4 linked regions of the Schizosaccharomyces pombe genome follow. Changing the gene in region 2 together with the main gene of any one other region gives a genetic interaction. Each region holds a gene or a part of one and is shown on either strand. Other genes may lie near its edges.

The links.
Region 1: mutations in san1 (region 2) and pam17 together harm fitness less than expected from each alone (positive genetic interaction), as found in Schizosaccharomyces pombe (one large-scale study listed by BioGRID).
Region 3: mutations in san1 (region 2) and naa35 together harm fitness more than expected from each alone (negative genetic interaction), as found in Schizosaccharomyces pombe (one large-scale study listed by BioGRID).
Region 4: mutations in san1 (region 2) and SPOM_SPAC15E1.02C together harm fitness more than expected from each alone (negative genetic interaction), as found in Schizosaccharomyces pombe (one large-scale study listed by BioGRID).

What each region holds. Positions count from the first base shown.
Region 1 is NC_003424.3:1,553,087-1,556,467, forward strand, and holds pam17 (putative TIM23 translocase complex-associated motor subunit Pam17), read right to left. Parts: upstream 1,735-3,381; 5' UTR 1,706-1,734; coding exon 1,295-1,705; intron 1,207-1,294; coding exon 1,128-1,206; intron 1,081-1,127; coding exon 1,049-1,080; intron 987-1,048; coding exon 915-986; 3' UTR 501-914; downstream 1-500. Other genes in the region: protein Dbs2, read right to left, coding at 1-127; U4/U5/U6 small nuclear ribonucleoprotein complex subunit Snu66, read left to right, coding at 2,048-3,381. UniProt on the Schizosaccharomyces pombe protein: Component of the PAM complex, a complex required for the translocation of transit peptide-containing proteins from the inner membrane into the mitochondrial matrix in an ATP-dependent manner.
Region 2 is NC_003423.3:2,952,089-2,957,509, forward strand, and holds san1 (RING finger protein), read right to left. Parts: upstream 3,371-5,421; 5' UTR 2,954-3,370; coding exon 728-2,953; 3' UTR 507-727; downstream 1-506. Other genes in the region: SPOM_SPBC2A9.03 (WD repeat-containing protein), read left to right, coding at 1-409; putative transport protein Tvp23, read right to left, coding at 4,381-4,816, 4,878-5,044.
Region 3 is NC_003423.3:4,131,652-4,139,170, reverse strand, and holds naa35 (NatC N-acetyltransferase complex subunit Mak10), read right to left. Parts: upstream 5,513-7,519; 5' UTR 5,453-5,512; coding exon 3,758-5,452; intron 3,713-3,757; coding exon 3,281-3,712; 3' UTR 3,191-3,280; coding exon of another isoform or gene 644-3,190; 3' UTR 586-643; downstream 1-585. Other genes in the region: RNA-binding protein Prp24, read left to right, coding at 1-195, 320-585, 644-3,190; ARS-binding protein Abp2, read right to left, coding at 5,886-7,469. UniProt on the Schizosaccharomyces pombe protein: Component of the NatC N-terminal acetyltransferase.
Region 4 is NC_003424.3:3,720,721-3,723,409, forward strand, and holds SPOM_SPAC15E1.02C (uncharacterized protein), read right to left. Parts: upstream 1,117-2,689; 5' UTR 1,037-1,116; coding exon 590-1,036; 3' UTR 537-589; downstream 1-536. Other genes in the region: bud6 (actin-interacting protein 3), read left to right, coding at 1-243; rpl42 (60S ribosomal protein eL42), read left to right, coding at 1,789-2,088, 2,279-2,299.

The sequences.
Region 1 (3,381 bases), on a different chromosome or scaffold from region 2:
CTAGCTGACGGTGCTTTTTTTCTTCTCTTTCTTTCATCCATCGTAAAACTTCGAGACGTTCTTCATCAAGTGCCGATTCCAATGATCCTGCAGATTTTCCACCACCAGAGTAAAGAGCCGAAGTCATCCTTTAACAAATAATAAATAATTCAAGTTAGTTCGCTTTAACTAACTCAAATGTATGAATTGCCCTCACTAGTTTGTTTACTTCCGTTAGGTGGTAGATACAAGGTTGCCTCGTTTTCAACCTACGAATCCTACAAATAGCGCGCAGCGAAACAACATTTGATCTCCTTCGCTAATTTATTACATCAAAACTATATTAATGTTTACACATAAAGGTTCTTGAATTTTGGAGGAGTAATCAAGTTAAAACTGATACTGTAAACTATTAATTATGTTTTCAAAGGTTTAGCTATATTCTTTTTATTTGATCAGTTTCAGTCTTGTAATTTATAAATTGAACCAATGCATTTTTTAATTGTTATTAAAATTGTGTACTGGCATGTCATGCATTACAAACAAAAATGTTATATATTTATAATCTTCTAATATCTGCTTCTAATGGTTTTACCATGTCAGTTGTACAACAATCATAGAACAGACGGCAAAAGCTTGTTGCAAAAGATAAAATTCAATAGCAGGAGTGACATGTACAACAAATTATGTAAGAAATTGTATGCACGGTAAATTATAATTAAGATAATCATTACTAGAATTTCTCTACACATGGACAAAAACACTTGCTTGAGAAAAGTCTGTACTATAAGTTGAGACTATACAGATTTCAATAGATGAACTTCTTTTCACAAATACTGATACGGCAATGCTTCTGTATCCTTTTAGTTATCGTGTTAAGAAAAGAACCTCATCCACAATTCTATATGACAAGCTATCACTTCAACACTTCTAATTTAACGATTGCTTGTACGCCAAAATGCCCGTTGTATGTAAGCCTTCTGATCCCTCAACCAACGTCGATAGTCCTTTGCATAAAAGTTAGTAATCAGTGTACAAAGTAAATGAGTAGATAACACATATCACATACAGAAAGGGAGTAAATTTTCTCACCGTAATAATCTAATTAAGAGTTAGACATCAATCATGACGCAGCCTTCACAGCATACCTGGGATAGGATTAGAATAGCTTTCCATTTGAGGTGTAACCCTGTTTTTAACCAAGTGACGGTAAAATTCTTGTTCTCTCTAAAAAATTAAATATATTAGAATACTTTCAGAAAACATAGTCCGTAGATGCTAACATAACCCCTATTATCTAAGGGAATGAACGTACCGCTGCAATTTGTCTCGCTTGACTTTTATGAAGCAGTGTCCATATTTTTCTACCTATACTAGGGCCCAAAAGCCATCCAAGCCCTCCGGATGCAATAGTTCCAATAACATATAGAGTAAATAGATCAAGACCCATAATAGTCATGGTAGGGTCAACAGTACGCGTAAGAAAATAGGCGGATCCTAATCCTAGTCCGGTAAGTGCAGTAGGAATAGAAGTTAAGGTTTCAAAAATCCTTCTGCTTTTTCTTAATTTCAGGAATGTGGGCCAATTTAAATCTTGAGGTTTCTTCTGTTTTATAGACTCAGTGGAATAAGTTTTTACATTATAACAAGTTTTCCATAAAGTTAAAAATATTTTGGGACTTTGTAATCTTTTTACAACTAGACCAGGCCGTATAATAGGTATCATAACGAATCCTTGCTTGTTGGAAAATGTATACTTCATATACGTATCGCCTCAATTGCTCTTCTCTTTTTAACGTATTTTGTTTATTATTCCTTAGCAAGCGCGGACGCATACTAGGAAACGCAACTTTTTTTGAAAGTACGCTAAAATAGCTTAGTGAGATATAAATGAGAGTTTAAGTAAATTATTTGAAACAATATTACGGTTCGTGTATTTCGCCATTCTCCTATTTTATTCATATCCTTGAGTCAGTTGCAAGTTTAGTGTATTTTTTTATTAAAAATCCATATTATTATTTATTTATCAGCATTTGAAAGTCTGTCACTTGCTGTTGGATTTAGTATAATGTCTGGGAATTCAGGCGCCTCTGAATCGATTTCTATTGAGGAGACCAATAGAATTAGAATTTCGCTAGGCCTCAAACCCTTAGATATTTCAGAAGAAAAACCTCAGAAAGAACTTTCAGATGCTTCAGTCAAGTCTTCGTATGTCGATCAAGAACAACAGGCCTATGAAAATTGGAAGAAACAAGAGCAGGAGGAAATAAATAGGAAGAAAGAAGAAGAACTGAAAAGCAAATTTGAAAAATTACGGCAAAAGAATGAACGAAGACGCAGAACGCAAGGAAAAACACTCGCTGAAACATTGGCAGAAGAGGATGATCAAATCGATGCTAACGATACTCGAGCGTGGATACTCAAAATGCGTAATTCCTCATTGAATAAAAATGGCAATGGATTGAATTTTGAAGCGAAGAATGACGCCCCCAGAAGATCCACTCTACATTCGCAAAATGCTGGTCCCAATGTGAATAGCTCATTAGAAGGAATGAAAATAGCACACGGTTTTCAAGATTTAAACAAGAACGATGGTCTAGTCCTTACATTGAAAGATGCTGATATATTAGACGAAGATAATCATGATCTATTAGAAAATGTTGAAATGGTCCAGCGGAAGACTAAAAACGAAAGGAAGGAAGATAACCCCTACAAACCGTATGAAGATGAGAATGATTTTCTTCAACAGTCGGAAGCAGATCAACCGTCTGAAGATACTTTTACGACCATTGGTCCACAAAATAGTCTCACTGTTAATTCTACTATAGAAAAACATAAATCTGATAATAAAAAAACTTTTGGGACTCTTGTCTCTTTCGTTGAACCAACTATCACTGGCAGCGAACAATCAGATTATCGACAAATAAAGATTAAGAAGTCAAAAAAGAAAAAGTCAAAGTCTGATCGGAGAAAGCGTCTAGTAGAACTTGATGCAGAAAATGAAAATGAAAATGACCCATCTGATTTCGTGCTACCGAATGGTCAGAGTAACAGTGATCTGTCAGTTGAGCAAGATTCGGCTATTTTCAAAGAACAAAAGAAAATGAAGATTCAAAAGCGTATGCGCGAATTAGAAACACAGTCGTTTGCTGATGATGATGATTTGCAACAGTCAATTGCAATGCAGAGGAGGCTAGCTCAAAAAAGAGCGAAAATACTTAAGCCAGAAGATGTAGCTGAGCAATTGCAGAATGCCGAAGAAGTCACAGATATGACGGACTCGGACACGGCTTCCGGTTTAATATTTGATGATACGCGTGCTTTTGTTAATAGCATAAAGGAAACTGAAAATCGAGAAGCTCTTGGTTCCATAAATGAACAAGCATTTGAAGATTCCAAAGA
Region 2 (5,421 bases):
TTCCGTTTCAGCCAAACTTCCCCATTCCGACTCTGTACTTACTGGTTCGTGGCATCCAAATGGAAATATTTTGGCTACTGGAGGACAAGATACAACGGCTAAAGTTTGGGACATACGTGCCCTTGGTAAGTCGTTTCGAAATCTAGGTAGCCAAATGAGTGCTGTGACGAATTTGTGCTTTTCTCCATTAGGTGAAAGCTTAGCTGTCACGGAACAAGCCGATTTTGTTCAACTTTTTGATACTAAATTATTTAATACATCCCAAGTTATTGACTTTTTTGGAGAAATCGCCGGAACCGCTTACTCATCTTCTGGCGACAGTTTATTTATTGGTGTAGACGATCCCATGTTGGGTGGCATTTTAGAATTTAGGAGACCTTTACAACATCCGCTATCTTTCATATTTTAATTCTTTAACTCATTGAGTCATTTAATCTTATAATAATAAATTCCTTGGTACCAAACAAAACTATTAATGAACGTTGAAAAAAATAATGAGATTTTTTGTAATAGTCAAATAATCATTTAGTTTATAGGAGAGCAAATAATATAGATGATAAGTATTGAGATATAAATAATACAAAAACAATAAAAATCTATATAGCATGAAATATTGATACTCTAAAGGGACATCACCAAATTTGTATTGAAGATTTAAAAAGGCATAATAAACAAACAACTATATTTTTCATGATAAAGATAACAAAAGAGTAAAAAAACACAAACATTACTTATGCTCTTCATTACGACATTTTGGGCATTCTCCAATTTCTTCGTCCATTTGATTTTCGGAGTTGCTAGTAGATTGCTGGCATCTTTCATGTACTGAATGACCGCATTCGAAGTGCACAAATCTATCATTAGGATCACAAATGCCTTGATCCTCAAGCTGACACTGAGGACGCGTTGAGCTAGGTCTGCTATACGGATGATGCCGATTTGATCGTCTAGCAATCGGAGCAGCCATTCGAGGAGTGCTAGTTCCCGACGAAACCTTGCTAGTATCACCGGCATCACTACCAACAACGTCCGACGGAGTGGATATCGCAGGCTGGTCTACCGCAACATTACTCAAGGTGTCTACAGCAATGGAAGAATGGGTAGGAGTTTGATTTCGTGATCCTGCAACTTCACTCGAGTTTTCGTATTCGCCAGGAATATTTATCTCATCGGAAGGTTGTCGCCCGGCAGTGTCAACATTAATGCTGCTTCCAGCAGCTGATTGCTGAGCAGGGGTGCTCGATTCACTTCTAGTTTGATTCATTCGATTCTCCATTTCTTCCTGAAACCTTTGCAAAATGCGCTGCCCCATTTCACTGAGATGGGTAATACCAGGACCTTGGAAAGAGCCATTGCTTGGAGGTCTACTTGAATCTTCCATCGTAGCATCTGTACTTCTAGTACCTTCCCTTGAAACCGCTTCAGAAGGAGTTTCCTGTTCGCTAACTGCAGGTTGTAAAGGCGGTCTCGACAAGTATATATGAATTACTGGATGAACAGCAGGGGAGGAACCATTATTTGGTGTATTTGTACCCATAGTTACAGCATTTTGCTGATTTAAATTCTGTAGATTGGGAACTGCGGACGTAGCGTTGCTGTTGGTGTCGTCAGTATTCTCTGGCAACGTTTGACCGTTTTCAGTCTGCGCATTGTGATCGGGATGGAAAATTCCATTTAAATTAAGCAGGTTATTATTACCGCTAGGACGGAACATAGACTCAAGAACAGCTGGTAAATCGGCTAATGAAGGAAGACCATGGAACGTCATTAACTGTGTAAAAGGCCTTTCAGATCGATTCGTATTTGCAGGGATATTTGTTTGGCTTCCAGGAAGCCATGAAGTTGATTCAGGCGAAGCCGTTGGAAGATTTAGCAAATTGGGAGGCTGTATTGAAGGTGACGGCTCAACTGGTCTAGCTGGAGCATTTTGAGAGGGCAAGTTACTAGTTGGCAAGTCTGTGGAAGTACTATTCGTCATACTACCAGAATTAGAGGTAAGATTCGAAGTCATAGGTTCATTAGAGGAAGGGCGATCAGGCATAGATGAAAAGAAAGCATTAAATAAGGACGTAAGCGTCGAAGGACGAGAATCCGAAGGAGTAGTCTCTTGTCTAGAGCTAGCATTTTCGGCATCAATAGAGGCACCTTCTCCTGCTAAGGGCTCACTACGAGTAGTAGGTGTTGAGGTGTTTGAGTCAGGGTTTTCAGGGTGAGTATTTTCAACAGGGGTATTGGTGGCAGATCGATTTGGAGCTAGAATAAAACGTATTCGGTTAAAAGCAATGCGATGCAGTTGCCGAGCTGGTTCGTCTACGCCGGTTCGACCATCAGTGTTTGCATTGTTAAGCTCCTCAGATGGATGAAAGTCGGAATGAACACCATTTGATGCATTTTCTTGAGAAACCGCGGTGTTGCCTTGGTTGCCACGAAGCGTATGTGAGTGTGGAATGATAAATAAAATAGGAGGATGAGCTGAACCTACTGTTTCGTGGGGAACCTCTTTTCTACAAAGAGGACATGTACAATGATTTTCAAGCCATTTTTGTAAACAATTTTTACCGAATATGTGGCCACATGGCATCTTGGTAGCCTGCTTTTCATCATTTTCATTCATATCATCGTAACAGATCGGACAAGTCAAATCCATCAGTTGGTCATTAGACAAAGGTTCGAAAGAATCCCAGGCTTCTTTTACAGCGCGTTTTACGGGTGGTTGAAAGGGATTGGCAAACGGATCATTTTCTCCACCCTCGAAATTGGCTTGAGGAGTTATGATAAACATTGTACCAATTGAAAAAGCAACTGGTTGAGTCCCCGTGGTAGGGTGGGTACCTTCTTCACCCTCAGTTGCTTCACTGTTTGGATTACGATTCAAATAGTCATCATGCCCTTCAGATGATTGTCTCTCGTTTGATGATGCATGAGAATTATTCTCATTTGTATTGGAATCCATTTAAAACAGATAATTGTAACAGGAGATTCTATACAAAAAACTAGTACCTCAGTGGTCTAATAATAAAACCAAAAAAAAGAAATAAAACGACCACAATAAAGTCGAATCTAAATAAATAAAGCAGTACTCAAAATAAAAACAACAAATAAGACAAAGGAAATATTTGTAGGAGACTTATTATATACAAAGGAGGAATATGGTAAAATATGATTGCTGCGGTAATAAAAAAACAGGAATCAAAAATTTAATGGTAAGGAAAATGTAACATTCTCCATCGGGGTTTTCTGGCCACTGAATATTTCAATATTTATTTAGGCAAGCAAAAAAAAAAGTAAATAGAAAATAAAAGACGTTATAGAATGTTATAAAGTGCACCTTTCCACTTAAACTATCTTTTAAGGTGCAAAATGTGGTGTTGAACAAAATAGAAAACCAGGGACTTCCATTATATATTGCCAATAGAGACAGTGAACATGTGGGCGTTCATTAGGACATTCAATACCTTAATATTTTTAAGGAGTTATAAAAGGTTCTCCTTATTTGATAGTTGGGAGGTTTGTTGACATAAAGCATATGAAAACCGAAATTCTGCGAATCGTGTAAGAAACCGCATATCCTTGAATTTATAATTGACATTTAAGCTAATGCTTTATATATGTACTAAAAAAATGATATGCTCTTTAGTAAAGGAATCATCTAAATACATATTTTGCCATTTAAAATATGTATATTAGAAACTAACAATTACATATTCTTTCCGCTTTTATTATGCTGTTATAAGAACTTCGTTTCAATATATGTTCATCACTAATAAGAAAGTATTAAATTTTAAGTTCACAGCAAACACACGCAGGAACATAGTTGTCGAAATAAAAAGTAGCACCAAACTTTGAAGTTTCGTTCATCGGTATCTTATTAAGCACTCCATGCGTAAATATTTGAAGTCTAACTAAGAATGTTATCAATGGAAAAATAAATGTAGTGGGTTTCAAAAGATCTCAGTTGGCCTTCATGAAACTTTGTGTGATAGTATTAACCATAAAAGAATGTATGAATAAAAGAACGTAATGTGCACCTAAAAATAACCATTGGGCTCTATTCAAATATTCAATCAGAAAAGAAGATATATGCTTGAAAGTAACAGTATGGGAGGTTATATAAACTCATACTAAAATACAGGATCCGTCATACAGTCTTTTGGCTTTTGTATTATAAAAATACGTAATCAGTTGATGCTTAAGGATTCAAATTGACGCTCTGTCATTTCAAAGTTGGGAAGTAAAAACACAATATCGTTCCAGCGCTTTCGTCAATTTAATTAACAAGCAAATCGTTAAGCCAGAATCCCATGAAATTAGCTTTTTCATATACAATGAGCTTAAAATGCAATGTAGTTCGAAAAATTATTTACAGAATTTGAAAGAGCTTTAACCAATAAATCTCTTGATAAAAGCCCTAGATAAAAATCTGGAAACAAATCCAGAAGAATTGGAATCTGCAAGTTCTGTAGCCCAACGACGCTTCGCGTCTTTGTCACAACGACTGTAAGCAGCGGTGTTAACACTTGTCAGTCCAATTGCGACAGCAACGAGTGCAAGCCAGAGAAATTCAAATCGAATTATAGCTACAATCCCCAATATGATCCAAATAAATGGATATAGATAGAGAGCGTACCAAAACGTCTTCTGATCAACGGCGTTTCTGGGACGACTGGGATCTGCCGATTCGAAAATCCAAATGCTTTCACCATCAACTCCAGTTTCATTTCTCCATCTCAAACCAACTAGTAAACGACCAGAGACGTTTTTAACAGTCCAAAGATCAACAGCTAGCAAAGTGAAAATTACAATAAACAACAACATACTATTTTTATTTGTTTAGCTCAATTTCTTTTTCTTTTAAATTTCTGCTATTAAAAACTTACAAACTTGAGGTAAAGAACATGCCCAATATGTATGCCACAATTGCACCGGTACGAAATAAAAGAAAGAAGAAAAGAGCTACAGGATGCGAAGACATTTGAAACATCTGCGGTAGCCTACTAGCATTCCTTTCCTGCTCGGCAATTGTCTCCGTATTTTGATAGTCCATTTTCGTCAACGTGATATGGTTATCAACGTAAAGGTTTCGATCCAAAGAGGTGAACATCTCAGCAGGGGTTTGACAGTATGCGAATAAGGAACCTTAACGAAGATTCTTATTGTGTAGCAAGCCTGGTTTTCTAAAAGATCGTATTCGAAAGTGAATGTTTAGTTGTTAATTTAAGTTTTATAATATTCTTCTAACGAAAATGTTTATTAAATTTTTTTAAAACTGTAATGCATATAATATCCAAAGTATGAATCTGACTGCCTGTCTGTTTAATTTTGTTAATGCCTATCATCTAAGCATTTGAAGTAAATTAAATTTTTCTGTAATACTGAATTCCTAATTTTATTAACAAAATCCAAAAAGCATTTTAGACAAGA
Region 3 (7,519 bases), 1.2 Mb from region 2:
AAATGGATATTGATCCACAAGAACAAAACGAAAAAAAGCCTTTGCTTCTGGATGAATTGACCAAATTTACGATTTTACATCCCTATAATTATGATAGTCATATTAAACTCATTGAAGAGTTAAAGCGTCTAGATAAAAAGAAGGAGTTGTCAGAGGCTAGAAAGACTTTTCAATCGATCTTTCCACTTTCAGAAGGTATGTCAATCAACAATCGTCTAGGTAAAGCGTGTTGAGGCGAATTCCATAGACTCGCAAAAATTATTCACTAATTACTTTAACTTTGTTAATCTTTTGACAAGCATTTATTAATGGTTTTTAGATTTGTGGGTAGATTACCTTTTAGATGAGTGCAAAAACTGTAGGACTTTAGACGACTATGTGAGGATAAAAACATTGTTTGATTTGGCAGTTCAAGATTATCTGTCAATCAAAATTTGGTGTATGTATCTTGAATTTACGCTAAACTTAATGGACACTTCTTCTTTTGAACAAGAACAGTCTGAATTAAACGGCGTTATTACTTTGACAGATGCCCATTCTCTTTTTGAACGTGCATACCAAACTTGCAAATTTCATTTTTCTAAAGTAAGGAACTAAAAATTTTCTTCATGATAAAAATGTATTTACTAATCAATGTTTACAGAGTCAATGTGTTTGGACGTTATATTTGGAATTTTTACAGACGTTCGGTGATGCTCTATTTGAGGGAGAAGAAGAGCAAGAAATTGTTTTTAAAAACAAGATATATGATTTTCATATTGATAGATTAAAACTTCCACATGAGCAGATTGAAGAAACGTTTACTTCTTTATCAACGTTTGTCACAAATAACTGGTCTCCTTCCGAATATGAGGATGTTATGGTGAAAAGCAATAAAGTGTATGAGACTACACTTAAAAGAAATGCAAAAATTTTTAATAAAGAACTATTGTTAAACAGCGCAAATCATTCTCTCGAAGCGTATATGGATTTAATTAATGATGAATCGCGACGCTCAACAGCTGAGTTACAATATATAACAACTCTCTATGAGCGTGCCATAGTTTTGTATCCCCTCATTCCGGAACTCTGGTTGCAATACACTGCCTGGCTTAGTAAAGTGGATTTTTCTTCTTCTCAAGCGTCCAGTGTAGCAGAACGAGCTACTCGTAACTGTTCATGGATTGGGCGTATTTGGTCCATTAAACTGACTTATATGACGCTTTCTGGAGCATCCACATCGGCTGTCTGTGAAGAGAAAGATCGATGTTTGAATTCAAATTTGCTCGTAAATTTTGACGAGGTTATTGATTTTTTTAGCGGATTTTTAAAAGCATGCCTATATTTGTCTTCTAATGAAGATAAGCCACAGGAATTTTTGAAACATCAAATTCATAAAGTCGAAGACTATTTGCGAAAAAATCATAAGGGATCAAAGGATGCAAGAATGCGCATTGAACTTTCAAAAATTTATTTATATTCAGAAATCTCTGATTTTGAAAGCGTAGAAAAGTGCTGGTCTGATATGTTTCATGATTTTCAAAATCAGGCATTATATTGGATTTCTCGATACATAAGTACGATGAAGTATAACCCAGAGCTTGCGGCTGAGACGTTAAAAAAAAGCCTTTACAAAAACGTTGATCAGCCTCAACTTCTGTTCCAATTTTATCAATCCATTATGGACCTTAATAATGACTGTTTCACAAACACATCACATTTATATGACGTTTTAAATGCACAGAGGATTAGCTTCAAACGTCAATTGGATTCTTTTGCTGAAGAAACGAAGCAGACTGTCGAAAACACCGAACCACTAAAAGTGCCTCAAGCTGATGATACAGCCGCCCTTTCAAAGAAAAGAAAACCTGGGCAAGAAGGTGATGTGTTCAAAAAGTCGAAACCTATTGAGCAACACAGGAATAGGGAAGAACTTACAGTTTTGGTTACCAATCTACCTTCCGATATAAGCGAAAATGAGTTGAAAATTTTTTTCAAAGATTGTGGTAATATTATACGCATTTTTATCCTCGAAGACAATCAAAAGGATGTTAAAGTGGCTCAGATTGAATTTTCTGAAACCAGTGAAGTTCTTGCTGCTAAAACAAGAGACCTTAAATCGATAAGGGGTCATGAAATTTCTGTTCAAATTCATGTAGACACGAACCTCTACGTTACCAATTTTCCTCCGACTTATGATGAATTAGATATAACCAAATTATTTTCTGCATATGGTAATGTGGTTGACGTCCGTTTTCCTAGTCTAAGGTATAACACGAACAGGCGTTTTTGTTATGTACAAATGAGAAAGCCCGATGAGGCACACAATGCCCTGCAGTTACATAAGAAGCTATTGGAAGAGAAGTATCCTATTCAAGTCTTTATATCAGACCCGCTTCGGCGAACTCCTAGAAGCGGTGCTGTCTATGAGGGTAGAGAACTCTACGTTACAAATATTGATTTTAAAGTAAATGAAAAAGACGTAGAAACATTTTTTAGGGATTATGGGCAGGTTGAGAGTGTTCGAATACCGAAAAGATTTAATCAACATAAAGGTTTTGGATATGTGGTAATGACTACAAATCAAGATGCTGAAAATGCACTTTCTGCTGCTGGAAAGCAATTGGGAAATAGAGTTTTGAACGTTGTTTTGTCGAAGCCTCGAGAATCTCTAGAGAAAACAAGGGTATCATCCAATGACAACCGAACCTTAGCTAAAAGCTTTGAGACTACTGAGTCAAATAAAATGTCAACGCCAAAAAAATCATTCGAACAAATCAAAAGCAAAAGCCTAGGAGTCACTAATGTCGACGGGACTGTTAACGAGGCTAGACTTAGAAGTTTATTCGAAAGCTACGGAAAGTTGTATAGAGTTGTTCTTCATCCTGAACATGAAGGTGCTGTAGTAGAGTTTTTGGATATTCATGATGCGGGAAAGGCATCCTTGGCATTAGAAGGACATGAAATTGGTGGCAGGTTACTACACATTACCACTGTCAATGAAATGATGCACAATGTCCCATCTAGTATGAATCATTCCGATTACAATACCTCTGCTACACGCCCACGGCGACTCGGAAGCCGAACGTTTCAAGGTTTCAATTCCAATCATTCCAATATAAATTCTAAGAAGGACGATTTAGACGATAAAGAAATGCAGATAGATGCACCTAAAAGCAACGATGATTTTAGGAAAATGTTTTTAAAATAGTCAGCAATAATTAGATTGAATGATTAAAAAAATATTGAAAACCTAACTTTTGATAATTTTGATTTATTAACATAAAAGACGAACAACACCTCATGTACGTGAAAGACTTGGGAGCGGATTTCCAGGTATTTCCACTATTTTTAGATTAGCACTATGATCTTTGGATAAGATTGCAAGTGAAACCAGATTTGTAATGCAGCAACATAATAAATTTTTTAAATAGTTGGTTTGCAAGAAATACGGGTTGATGAACTCATTCTGTTCAAAACCGGATTTTATAACATTAATAAGGCTATTCTTTGCAGCAGTGAATTTTTCATTAGATTTGATGATTAAATCATCCGTAGAGAAATTTTGAAGATTTTTGATTATGCAATCAGCTTCCGAACGAAGTAGTGGCTTGGGTTGACGCAAATTAATTAAAGGACGATAATGGGCCATGTAATATGACTCTTGAATTTTTTCATCAAGAGTAAATGAAGGAGTTTTAATGATATTCAACCGCATACAAAGCACCGTCAGCTAAAATCGTTAGAATAAAAAAGAAGCGATAAGCTTTATACATACTAGTAAATAGCCAGAATAGGTCTCCTTTATAGCATTCAATATTCGATGCAAATATGTAACAAAGGTTTTGGCCATAGGTGGGGTATTACGATCCTTTCCATGAAGCTCTAAATGAGTCTGGTGGATAGAAAAGACATGATCAAGCACAGCAAAAAAATGGGGCCATTGATATGGTTGGTGAAGTTTTTGTTCAAAGGAAGAAAGCAAGATATGCTCAATTGCATTTAGCTTAACATGGTAAATAAATGATGAAAACGGTCCATTACTTGGTAGGCTTTTTGCTACGAATTTCAAATCAAGCGCTTCAGCTTCAAAATGAGCAACGGTAATTTCAGGAAGTAAATTTATTAGATTACGGCGGAACCGACAGGGATTGTGGGAACAAATTCGGACAAGGTCAACCATGATATTAGTTGAATGAGCAATCAAAGACTCAACTAGCGGACCATAGGCTGATGAGATAGAGTTTTTTTCGATTACTGTACGGGTGTTAGGATTATAAAAATTTGAAGGAAGCCCAGAAAACTCACGAATACATTCTAACATATACGAAGTAGGTTGATCCCTTAGATTAACTGCATTGTTAGCAGTGATAAGTGCTTGAAGGGAGGAACGGACGTAAGGCTCTGGAGTACGATTCAATCTCGTAAAATCTAAACAAAACTGATATACTGCCAAGGAAGAAGCGAGAGTGTGGCTATTCAAAATCAAAAGCATATCATCAGCAAAATACAAAATTCGTTGATAAGAATGCTCAATGCCAGTAGGAGGAATATTCCTCACAGGAGCTGTAGCAACTAATTGGGCTTGGACGCGAAAATCCCAATATTGCTTTAATATGCTCTCCTTGATAGATGAATCAACTACCGAAACCGTGTTCTGAATCTCGGGTACCAAATTTTTGATCAGATGGAGAGCATCGATGGTGGTCTTAATATCACTCCTTTCATACACTCGTAAAATACCAATTCGAAGTTGTATTCTATTGAGAATTCCCTCGATAATTTGTCGTAACTCGGCAGAAAATTTTATAACCTCGGAAGCCAAATATTCGATGCTAGATTGCAAAAGATAATTGAGTTTTTCTATGGGGTAATTTTGAAGAAAGGACATGTGATATGAAAACGAACTAATGTCTTCCTCGTCATATAAATTTCCCATCAGAAATTCTCGATGAACAATATCGCAACATTTAATAACAGCCAAAACAAAAGGGAAAAGAACGATGTCAGTTGTATTCCTTCCGCTACCACTGGAGAAGCCACTGTCACCCACTTGTGAAATAGGCGACTTGCAAATGGAGAACACATGGGCACTACAGAGTAAGCTCTCTGATAAGGGGGATCCATAATGCCACTCTTTTTCCGCAGAGACAATTAAATCCATTAACGCTAATATTTCCAAGTAAGAGAGATCACGTGAAAAATCTACACGAAGTGGCTGATAATCAATCCCACTATCCATTTTCGGTTCCATAATTTCAAAGGCACTGATTGAATCCAATAATGTAAATTTTGGATCACATACTAGCTGTTCCTCTTTCAGAGATTTCGTGGCTTCAAAGTAAGACTTTGTACAGTCGACATATCCAGCGTTATCAACATAACCTTCGTTCCCTTTGGCCGGTTCCACATTTCCAATCTTCACATTTCCTTGCATAGAATTAAGCAATGATAGGGACTCTTTAACAGACATAAAATCGACAAAACACCCCTATATTGACCAATTTTCTATTGAACGTCTAGTTTATGGGTTAATGAAAAGTGTTACTCTGTAAGTCACAACAAAAATTCCACGCATAAAAATGCTTGTTCAATAACATTTTCGAGAGTAAATAAGATGGTAATTTTTTCAATAATAATAAAAACAATGATAAATCCAATTTGAAATTATTTTACTTGTATCTGCAAAGGTAAAAAACTATCTCGATGGTAACCCATCTCACCTAGCAGTAGAATATCTAAAAACTTTTTATAAAATAAAGAGAAGGAAAACAAAATAAATACTTTAAACAATTATGCTTTTTTGAACATGAGAATTTTGTAACTTTGAAATTGCACCAGTTCGTGGAACGTGCAGTCGCAAAGTGTACTGCATAAATAGATACATGCATGGAAGAATCGTGATTTCAGTCAAACACTGCATTCATAATCTTTCTCTTTAAATTTTCGAGTTCTAAATTTTTTTCTTTTAGGGCCGCATTCAGTTTGGCAATTTCTAATTTTAATGAGGAAACAGTGTCTAAAGGCTCCATTGAATTTGAATGAGATATAGGGACATCGGGAATCATCTGAGCTTCTGCTAATGAGTGCATACTCGGCGCTTTTTCCAAATTGAATGCATGACATATAGTAGCTGTTAATGGTCCTTGATGAACGGTCCAAATTAAGCGATCGGTACTGGCTTCAAGGATTTCGGAATGAGAAGAGACCAGGGCTAAAAGAGTACTTGAGATGAACTTAAAATTGGGAGTTTTGGGGATCGGCGAAGTTTCGGAGGGAGGAAGATATTGGGATATCGTTTCAGTATAGTGTGATAAAAGTTGAGAAACCGTTTCCATGGGCAGACGAGCAACATGTGAAAATGCAGAGCGAAGCATTGTATTTTGAGCATGCATCAACTTTTCAAATCTTTCATACCAAGAGATACTTAGCGTTAATGACACAGATGGTTCAGATCTCAGCCGTTTAATTTTGTTACGAGCTCCTGGCGGACGCCCGCGTTTACGAGGGACTCCTGCTTCATTTTCAACATTTTCCGTTTCTACTTGATTGGTTTGTCGAGACCAAGAATCATTCAACCCGTCACTTTCTTTGGGTGAAGAAACGTCTCGTAAATCATCAGGCCATTGATGCCAGTCAGGATCAATGGAATCAGCAACGCCAACTGCTTCAGCAGTTTGAAAAGCGTGATCATGGTTATGTGAATTGTTGGCTGCGGAAGGTAACTGATGGTCTTCGTCAGGTGGTTCAAACATATTTGGAGGATGTGGGAGAGAATGGTTTTGAGGAGTTGTCTGATGTGCTTGTTGAGAACCTCGTTCAGACATGTGATGGGACGCTCTCATTAAAAGGGATTGAGGGGTAGGGCATTCTTGGGAATCTGCATGAGGGTTTGTGACAAAGCTACCAAGATTGTGAGTGTTGTCGTCTAAACTAGCACTAGCTGAATGAATCCAGTTAGAAGGGGAGGTTGACGTGCGCATTGTGGAGATGGAGGAAGAGTTAACATCTGGATGAGACATTAAGCCTGCACGTAAAGATTTAATAACCAAATCATCAGTTACATTTACATTGCATCGAACTTGAGGTTGGGTTTCAGGAATTTCGAGATAATAAGGATTTGGTTTATTCAGGAGATAATCGAAAAAAGCATCAACATGTGTTTGACTCATCCACCGTTTTAAACGAACAACATACTGTTGTATTTTTTGAGTAGATTGTTCATCTTTTCGTTCCACACCAAGAAAACCCACCAGCTTGGACCAAGAGTTAATTATTTTTTGGTGGTATTGCCGGACAAGGAGAAATAAGACCCAAATCTCAAATTTTTGACCCTCTGATTTAGGAATCATATTGAATGCATTTGCTAATTGCCTCGTGTCAGCACCTGCATACCAGGGATTGCAGCAAAGACAGAATTGGCAGAACTTTTCAGTAATATTATCCGCGCTAACATCATGTCTAGATGGCAACAAGGAATAAAAGTTCATCCTTGATTAATTGCTTTAAAAAACAATAAAAAATGTAAAAAGACAGATAG
Region 4 (2,689 bases), on a different chromosome or scaffold from region 2:
TATGAGACGCCGATCGTCCGTAGTACAGCTCATGAAACAGATGATGAACAAACCCCTTCTAAATACTCCGATAACAGAGTCGAAAGTTCTAGTGATACAGTGTTTGAGAATACTGATCTTAAGTACGATAACAATGTACAGATGAGTAAAGTGACTCATCATGTAAGACACGATACGATATCCACTGATGACTATGACGCTTACGAAGATGCCGAAGATGTTGAAGAGACAAGCCTAACTTAATGTGCATAAGTTTTATTCGATTTGGCAATGATTGTATGCCAGTTTGTGTATTTTTTTTTTACTTTTTTTAACTTTAATTGTTACGAGAGAAATTACCCTGTATTACACTAGGACTGATGCAAATCTTGTGAATCAAGGATTTGCTGAATAGAGTTACAACATACCTTAATATGTACAGTTATAACAAGCAAAGGAAGCTTCGATGTTGTCCAATACCACTATTGGGATACTATTTTCACTTACAGTCTAACCAAATATGAGATAAACACAGAAAAGAAATCTTAGATATTAAAGAAAATTTGATTAACTTGTCGTTTTAAAAATCAGATATTGAACCATCGGAATCTTAAATACGACGTACGCCGTAACCGATCAAGGCAACACTTAAGCCTACTGATTTCACTAGAGAAGATATAGTTTTGACAAGGATGTAAGGGGTACCTCTGCTTTCTGTGAACATATAGTCGACTACGTCGGGCAATCCAGATGCACCAAATACATAAAGACCCACGAAAAAGGCACCTTTGAGTGTCACAGTGCCTGTAAGTTGCAACAATGCAGCGATCGAGTACGACTGAACTGCTGTACTAAGGAAATTGCTAACATAAGTTGTAGCAACCTTCTTGGTTTTACTTCCAGCGTCATATTCGACGTGAGGTGCAGTGCTCATTGCCCTTTTCCAAATATCGCCCATTAGGGGTCCATAAACGAGGAAAGAAGCAGCATGGTCGAAGGCAATCCCCAAGAGAATTGCACTAGGGCGTACATACGGCATGTGAGTGTAGGATGGCATTTCTTGTATTAATATTTAGTTTGAGTTAGAACAAGATTAATATGAATGTGAATATTTTGTAAAATAAATGTTTTGTAATTAAAGGATTTAAGGGCGCTACCACTAAATATATAGTATACTCAAGGTCCAATTATGGATTTAGGTACAGATTAATTTGGGGCGTCACTTTGACGTGTCGATGAAGTATGATAATTGGGAAATACTGCTTAGCCTGACTTGACTTGTTTTAAGTCGCTATTTCGCTATTTACATAGTGATATCTACATCATTTTCCTAAACTTTTGGTGGAGCAATATCTCATACTGTTCGGATGCTGTGCCAAGTCTTGCATAAAGAAATCAGTGAAGTCGATAAATATAAGATTTGGAGTGCAGCGATGGTAACAACTAGTGATTAAAAATAGAAATTTACTACAATAATTTTCGCATGTTTTACATTAAAAAGCCCTCACAGAAGAATCAAAGTTGGATTGAAATTCCAGCACTAAAACAATGTAGCTTAGAAATTTTGTTTGCTGGCCCACATTTGATATATTGCAAGCTTGATCTTACGCAGTAAACACTTTTAGGGTAGCTATCGGTTGTTCACACTATTGCGAACAGTGCGTTGAACGACATTACAGCAGCAAGTAAACCTAACCTAGAGGAATAAGAAACAGTCACATTTGTACAACAAGGGTTTAGCAGAGAAACTTTATGCTGTCGAGTTCCTAATCACCACCATCTAACCATCACTTATAAAAGTATCAAAAAATGGTGAACATTCCCAAGACCCGTAAGACTTACTGTCCTGGTAAGAACTGCCGCAAGCACACTGTCCACAGAGTCACCCAATACAAGAAGGGACCTGATTCCAAGCTTGCTCAGGGTAAGCGTCGTTATGACCGCAAGCAAAGTGGTTTTGGTGGTCAAACTAAGCCCGTTTTCCACAAGAAGGCTAAGGTTACCAAGAAGGTTGTCCTTCGTTTGGAATGCGTCTCTTGCAAATACAAGAATCAATTGGTTTTGAAGCGTTGCAAGCATTTCGAGCTTGGTGGTGAAAAGAAGACTAAGGTATGTCGAAGAATGCTGATAACGAGTGGATTGGATTTAGACGAATTTGTAAAAGAGTTTTTGCCGTGGTTGAATACCTCTCAAATCCAGAAAAAAAATTTTGCAAAGCGCTTTTATGAATTGTCTTTTGTTGAGTTTCATCCTTATTATCGATCATTTTCTTTATTTCATCTACTAACAATCATTTTAGGGTGCTGCTATCCAATTCTAAGTGTTTTAGCAAATACAATTTTCTTCTTTTACGGTGATCCTAAAAGCAATTCAAAGTAGTGTTTCATTTGTATTGTATAAATAATGACATGATTCCGATAGAGTAGCACACAAAGTGATGAGTTGTCATCAATTAGCAGTTCGCTAACGCTAAGGTCTGTTCTCAATATTGGAGCAATCTTTTTCGAGTGTTTCTAGTTCCATCGGTTTGAGTCAGAGCTTTTCAAGACTTGTATTACTGCTTGAGTAGAAGACAGGTGTTGTGATTTCGGAAAATAACCCATCACATTTGTCAGCATGTTAACTAAGATAAAAGTAATCAAACAAGTACAGCGTAAAATAGCGAGAGTACTAAAGCATCAAATATGCTTTCAAGTATTGCAAAAAAATT